2 linked regions of the Caenorhabditis elegans genome follow. The protein of the gene in region 2 purifies or fractionates together with the protein of the main gene of each other region. This does not show direct contact. Each region holds a gene or a part of one and is shown on either strand. Other genes may lie near its edges. The genes, in order: ska-3 and ska-1.

Evidence for each region.
Region 1: the proteins of ska-1 (region 2) and ska-3 purify together in Caenorhabditis elegans (affinity purification with mass spectrometry, with the first as the bait; one study listed by BioGRID). This does not show direct contact.

The regions. Positions count from the first base shown.
Region 1 is NC_003281.10:5,677,165-5,680,985, forward strand, and holds ska-3 (Spindle and Kinetochore-Associated protein homolog), read right to left. Parts: upstream 1,842-3,821; 5' UTR 1,825-1,841; coding exon 1,711-1,824; intron 1,662-1,710; coding exon 1,481-1,661; intron 1,438-1,480; coding exon 1,150-1,437; intron 1,104-1,149; coding exon 898-1,103; 3' UTR 805-897; downstream 1-804. Other genes in the region: F54E7.9 (N-terminal methionine N(alpha)-acetyltransferase NatE), read right to left, coding at 451-724; rps-12 (Small ribosomal subunit protein eS12), read left to right, coding at 2,166-2,182, 2,412-2,549, 2,717-2,984; pst-2 (Adenosine 3'-phospho 5'-phosphosulfate transporter 2), read left to right, coding at 3,334-3,440, 3,546-3,618, 3,672-3,793.
Region 2 is NC_003279.8:10,472,922-10,476,630, forward strand, and holds ska-1 (SKA complex subunit 1), read right to left. Parts: upstream 1,515-3,709; 5' UTR 1,514-1,514; coding exon 1,429-1,513; intron 1,375-1,428; coding exon 902-1,374; intron 853-901; coding exon 679-852; 3' UTR 592-678; downstream 1-591. Other genes in the region: Y106G6H.14 (Osteoclast-stimulating factor 1), read right to left, coding at 207-324, 372-467; Y106G6H.16 (Dynein light chain), read left to right, coding at 1,992-2,069, 2,143-2,247, 2,297-2,380, 2,430-2,576; row-1 (C2H2-type domain-containing protein), read right to left, coding at 2,752-2,833, 2,882-2,976, 3,020-3,127, 3,328-3,709.

The sequences.
Region 1 (3,821 bases), on a different chromosome or scaffold from region 2:
TTTTGGTTTTTTCCAATTATTTCAGTAGATTTTTCAACACTTTTTTGTTTCTTTTTGAAAAATGTATCAAGAAATTTTTTTTGAGAATACGAAATAGATCTTTTTAAAGTATTGATTAATCATATTTTGAAAAATATTTTTTAGATTTTGCAAAATTTACTTTTTATCAAAATGTTACTTTTTCTACAAATTTTTGAGGTTAAAATGACACTTTTAATTAGAAAATAGCTTCGAAAAAATTTTAACTGAAAAAAATGGAAGATCTTCTAAAAAACGACTTTAGTGAAAATCAATTTAAATCTTAATTTTTTAATTTTTGATTTTTGTTTTAAAACCAGACTTTTTTCTGAACTTTGAGACCATATTTTAGAATTTTTAGAAAACTTAATTTTATAACATTTTTCTTGAATTTTAAATGAAAAAATCTTAATTTCTCAAAAATTTACAAACCTCCAAAGCTTCTTATATAAAGTACGCGTCCTGTTTCGAAATTCTCGGGCTTTACAGCAACTATGGCGATTGCCTCGCCGTTTCGTATTACAACTCCTGTTAATTCGTTATTCATACATTCTTGATAAAATTTGTCGCTGTACGACACCGGAAATATGCTTGAAACGAGGATTCGAACTGTTTTTATGTTTTCCGCAGTCACTCGTTGCAGTCGAAGTTCAAGAGAATTATCGGTTGATGGTGATGAATGTGATAAACATTCCTCTTCTTCCATTGCTGAAACTTTGTCTAAAACGTTGACTAGAACATGCGAAAATTCTAAAAATATTCACAGTTGAAAACTGGTTGGATTTTCAAATTCATTTGATTTCATTTTCAGAAAATTGTATTCATATCCACATTTGTACAGATAAATAAAATAATATTTAGTATCAAAAATTCAGAAAATCAATCCCTTGTCTGATTGAATGCTCGACCAACTGAAGATGTGAAGACGGGCGGTGCTTGTAGGGAAAATAGATCAAGAGGATTCCGTTCTGGAGCTCTGGATGGAGTTCTTTGTGGTTTTCTTGCTGGAGTTTGCAGTTCTTCATCGTCCAACTCATCAAAAGCCAGTTTTCGTCGTTCGTTGGATGTATTCACCATTGATATGTCTGAAATGGCATGTTTTTATTGCAAAGACAAACTAATTCAATTTACCATGTCCGTTTATCAAAGAATCATCAAGACTGTAGCTTTTGGTCTCCGGAATATTTTCTTTCTTTTCAGTCCTTCCTGTCATCACCAATGATGAAAATGTTGGTGGTTTCATTATGGAAGCCATTACAGAGACAAGCTCCGGTTGACGTCTCGCAGATTCACCGAGAACTGATCCTTGTTCGACTGATATTTGTGGCATTTCTGGCTTTGCAAAAACTATTTTTTCCACTTTCTCAACCACGGGATTCAGAAAATCAATGCTGCCAATCCGCAAATGCTCGTTTCGTTCTGAATTTTTCTATTTTTTCGTGAAAAAATTATTGCAACTCACCTTTAGTCTCCACAATAGCTTTATCAAACGTTGTCCCCAACTGTTTCAGTTTTCCAGCGAGCGCACATTTCTTGTTCTTCAATTGCAGCTCGAGTTTCATAATTTCTACATGATCCGCCACATAGCTCTCCATTTCCTGCGTCAGTCTCATTCGCATGTCCACATCCAATTGTGCAAGAGTCTGAAATTCATGTAAATAATTTAAATGGACTGAAAGCTCGACAACTTGCCTTGTACTGTGAGAGTGTCAGCTTTTGAAGTAATTCTGGAGATTGGTTGCATCGAACGTCTTTTAGCTTCTCCAAAAAGTAAATAAGAACATGTTCCAGCGTTTCGTTAGCCATTTGACTCCTTTATTTGCCTGAAAAATGCTAATGAATGTTTGATGAAGACTGAGAAAATACAGAAAACTGTTGAAATTCAAAGCTTCCCGCGTGCAAGTCTCCGTAAATCGACAAATGGCAAGCGCGCTCTATAGCACATTTCACTGTGCCGCGACTCAAAGACATGCTGCGGAGTGATACAGAAACATTTCATGCTTCCCTCTTTTCCGTTGATTTTCCCAATTTTTTCTTTTCTTTTTTTCTTTTTCTCAAATCTTGAAATATATTTTGTGAAAACAATATTAACGAGTCGAAATTTCTAATTTTCAGGTAAGCATCAAGGACTCTTGCTGCAAACAACAATGTCTGACGCAGGAGGGTAGGTTATTTTTGTTTTTTTCTGAAAAATCTTGCACCTACCAATTATATCGGAAGATTTTGAAGTCATAGTTTTCCTATCGTAGTGTGCAATAAAAACCGTTCTACTGCCACACGGGTACTGGCCTTGAAGCTGTATCGGTTCCAAAGTTGTTCGAACAATTAGATTCCTTGTCTTAAAAGCAAAATTAAGTTTTTATGAAGGCTATTAAAATATTGGATAATTTTAGAGATGTTCAAGTGGCCCCAGCCGCCGTCGCCCAGGGACCAATGGACAAGGAAGGAGCTTTGAGAGCTGTTCTTCGCGCTGCCCACCACGCTGATGGACTCGCCAAGGGACTCCACGAGACCTGCAAGGCTCTTGACAAGTAAGTAATTGATATTTTAGTTTGTATTTTAGTTCCACTTATTTTTCAACGTCGCCGGTTCTAGAATCGATGTGACCCCAATAAGCTGGTAGATAAGTTGTTACTCTGCCACACGTGTACTGGTATCATGCTGTATGTGTTCCAAAGATTTTACAAACAATTTTCAGGCGTGAGGCTCACTTCTGTGTCCTCGCCGAGAACTGCGACGAGCCACAATACGTCAAGCTTGTCGAGACCCTCTGCGCCGAGCACCAGATTCCACTCATTAAGGTCGCCGATAAGAAGATCATCGGAGAGTACTGCGGACTCTGCAAGTACGATAAGGAAGGAAAGGCCCGCAAGGTCGTTGGATGCTCATCCGCCGTTGTCACCAACTGGGGAAATGAGGAGCAAGGACGTGCCATCCTCACCGACTACTTTGCCTCCAAGAACTAATCTGTTCGTTGTTCCAATAAATTGTTATTGTTCCCTATTTGTTCGTCTTTAATTACAAAATGGTACACATTCACAAGTTGTTGGGATAATATTTTCGGGAGCAGAAAGTATAGGAAAGGTTCTGCAATATATCACGCCGGTGAATTTTTATTTCGGTATGAATAACGTATGCATAGAGAGACGTAGCGCAGAAACTATTGCCAACGCGCAAAAAGATCGATACCCCCTTTTCAAAAGCCGTGAACGTAGTCGCGGTTCAGGCTTTCCCCAATGGACAATCTGAACAAATGCCTATCTGATTTAGATCTCAATTTCCCTTTATTTGCGCACTTTCCACCCACTCTTTCAAATGACTGCAGCTCAAATACATTCTGATTGTAGTGTTCATATGCTGCCACGTCATGTCAAAGAGGATGTAGAACCAATTCATCTGTTAGGGTTTAATATTGCCAGAAAGTGAGTTTTAATTTTCAATTTTAAAGCGGAATTTCAAAAGCGATAAAATCGAGAATACATTATGAAATCTCGAGCCGATTTAATTTGTGAATTCATGATTTTCAGACCAAAATGGCTTCAATTTGTTCTTCTTTCTTTAGCAATATTTATTTTGTACATAGGATACGGGTATATGCAGGTGAGATTAGAAGTTTACATAAAAAAATGTTTGGAAGAAAAAAAATATTTCAGGAATTAATATTCAAACTACCTGGAATGAAACCATTTGGATGGACGTTAACACTTATTCAATTCCTGATTTATAGCGGATGTGGATATACGGAATGTATTATTTGGCATAACACGAAACGAATGTGAGTTTTCAATTATTATTCAAATTTC
Region 2 (3,709 bases):
AGAGGAGGAACGACGGTTTTGCAAAATTGAGATGCGGTTTGATGCATGGCCATTTAAAAATGATTTTGTACTAATGAACTGACGAAAAAAGTTCAAAAACAAGTAATTTAACTAAAAACTGTAAAACCATGTGAATTAATCTACGCTTCTCATCGAACCGCGCCGCAGCTTTGCAAAACATTCCTGATTGTGCTGTAAGTATTCACCATAATTAGCTGGAACCAATCCTTTTTTGCCTCCGATGCTTGCTTGGAACCAATCTTTGTTCGGCTGCTCGTCGCTGACGTACATTAGATCTCCTTCACTGAATGTCAGCTCTTGAGCCTGAATTTATTCAATAATTGGGTTGTTTTTTTCAAATTAAAGCTTACAGATCTGGCTTGAAAATCATAAAGTGCTCGATAAACTTTCACTCGTCCTGGCTTTGGAGCTGGTGGTGGTGGAGCCATTGGTCGAGCTGATGACATTCTGATAAATTTTAAAAATGTTGAAAAATTCATATTTCTAATCAGAACAATAATATTTTTAAAGTAGAATATATTCACCAAAACAAAGGTGTAAAAATTGAAGAATAAATTTTTTTGATCATTTGAAGTAGAAATCCGTTTATTAGCTATTTGACAGAGAAATTTAATACGTTGAGACCAGTTTGAAAAATGTACAAATATCGTAAGGAATTTATGGATAATAGAAAGTCAACGGTCCGCATCGTTCTTCTCGAATTCGACGAATGTGACGAAGGCACGGAATTGCTTTGGCAAATGATGGACGAAGACGGTCTTGGAGCATTGGTCGAATGTCGGTTTCTATGAAGAATAACGTTGTTGGAAGTCTCTTTCTTGCTTTCATTTCCTGAAAAATTATAGATTTATTTTCAATAAAACAAGTAAAACAAACTTACAAGTTCTCGCCAATTGTCCAAAACCTCCCTATCGCTCCTTGTCAGCTGTTTATTAGTTTTCCCCAGGATTTTGCTCTTTTTCATCAGGAAATCATCCATTTTGCTCACTATTTCATTCATCATTTCCAGCGTTAACCGGCCTAGTTGATACTTTGGAATTGTTTTGAATTCTTCATCCGTTATCTGTGGCACAATTCTGATATCATTTTCTTTCGGTTTAGACGATAATCCTTGTTCATTCGGTTCATTGGTTTCGACAAGAGCAGATGATTCTTTACTTTGAGGTACCAATTGTGATTTCACATCGACAATCGTGGAAGCTTCAACTTTGATTCCGAGAAAATCATTCAATTGACTTTTGGTGCAGTTCATACATGTTTCTTCACAGTTGTTTTCCAATTTTTGTTGATCAAAAGCTGCATCATCTAGTAACAACTTGATATTCTTCATTGTATTCAAGAGAGGGCTGATTGCTGAAAGAAGTGATAATGAAGAATGCGAGAAGTTGTGAAGAAAAGTAAACGTACTTGTTTCAAAATTGGGAATATTTTCTCGACATATGCGGAAATTTTCATCGGTCTCTTCGGTAATCCGATCAATAAACGATTCCATTCTGAAACAGGTAATGTTTTAATTTTTAATTTTTAATATGTTATGTTTTGTAGTATTAGAGATATGTTTAATGTATCAACAATTGAAATTGAATCAACGGAAAAGAGCCAAATTCGATAAAGTCTAATTTTAGGGAAAAAGGAAGCAGTGGCCGTTTCTGCTGGATTTAAGAAATAAAGAATGCAGTAGAGCAAGAAAAAAATCTGTTCCAATTTAATTAAGAAGTTATAGCTAATTAAAAAGATAAAACAATTAAATAAATAAAGACAAGACGGCAAGGAACGATGAGTCATATTCGCGCCGTTTTAATTCAGATATACTTCGAGAGGAGTACACATCCGTGGGCGATAGAGCAGCCACAGTTCGAATTTCTAGGCCACGACCATAAAAGCGAATTTTCAAATTTAGATTTTTATCTTTGTTAGAAACGTTTTTCTACAAAATAACATCATATTTATACCTAACCCAATGAAGATAAATGGAAGAAAAAGACGAATTTGATTTATTTATTGAAAAAGCTGAAGAAGTGGTTCGTCTTTTTGAAAATGGGCAGGACGTGAGTTAATTGATGCGATAACGCGTTATAACACTGAAAAATATTCAGTTTCTCTCATCTTTTAATTTTTCAGGTTCGCAACGAAGCAGAAAAATTGCTCAAAGATGCTCTTTCTGTTGACGCAGAATGTGTTCCGTCCACATGTGTAAAGCCAGATAAAATCTGCAAAATCTTAAATGTGAGTTGTTTTTATTTCAAAAGAGATAAAAAATATATTTAATTCTCAGTATCATATAAATAAAACAAGCTCCCCACCAGTTCAAAGTATTCGAATGCGCCATTTTACTCGATCTCCAACAGAAAATAAAAAAGTAGGAGTCATAAATATCTCAATTTTCTGATAAAATGATTATTTTTCAGATAATAAACACAATAAAAGTACAACCTAACTCGTCTTCATGTCTACGATGCACAGTTTTAATAATAATTTTTACCCTTCTTTGTCTCATAGCTTATCATTTCTACTTTTTGCGATTACCAACACGTTGTCCTCGGCCAACGTGGTGAATGGCTTTATAAATGTACAGCAATTTGTTCAAGACATTTGTAATTCATTCAAAATAAGCATGGAAAAGATCGAAATGTGATTCAATGGGAAAACATAATGAAGTAGAGTTTTTAACCGTGGAGAAAAATCGATACAAATAATAGTATCATAATGAGGAGATCAAGCGAGATCGAATCAGTCTTCGGTAGTGACGGCACTCGCCGTGCACTTTTCCATAATTTCCAAACTTTTGTCGTGGTTTTTAGAGAGCATTTTTCTGTAAAAAATGTATTGTATATAGAGTTAGGAAGAAGAAATTACGTACAATAGTGGTAAATCATCAATTGGCTGGTAAACAATATCTTCAAGAATTGGTAAAGGATCTCCTCTCTCCAAATGAATTTTTCGAAGTGTTGCTTCCTGAAAAAAACTTTCCAGTTTAACACGATTGTTTTTAACGTACTTCAGTTTCTGCTTCAGTGTTTGTTGGTTGTGGATATACAGCGAAAAGTTCGAGTTCTTCTTTCGGATCACTTCCCAGCCGGACAATTTCCCGTTTTCTTTCGATATCCTACAATAAAAACATTATATTTTGAAACAAGTCATATATAAGGAAGTGTAAAAATCTACAAAATGGCCCGTTTTGAAATTTTAATGTAACTTTTGACTCGAAGGCTACTGTAGAAATATAGAAAAATGATTAAATTATTTTGCCGAAAAAAAAACGTTGTAGATTTTTTCGCACACTCTTGACACAAAATTCAATCATACATTTATAGACCGACGACATTTGTGATAATGTGATGCTGTTCGGTTCCCATTCCACGACTTGAAGCCACATTCACATTCGAACAGAGTATCCCCAGTAGTCGTCAGATCAAATCCTTCTCGTTCTTTGTCTCCAGCACAGGCAACTTCATCGTTTATCCGACGCCCTTCCAGAGTTTCAAAGAATCTACGTTGAAGTAGGCCTATCTTATTTCTTTTTGACATATGCTCTCTTTCAGTTTCATGGACGGATTTCCGTTCAATCACTTGCCACAGTGAATTGAGCATTGTGTGATCATTGGTACGATGAGCCTCAAGCAATAATCTGCTAGTGAATGTCAGAGCACATACATGACATCGCATTTGTGGTCCCAATGCATGAGAA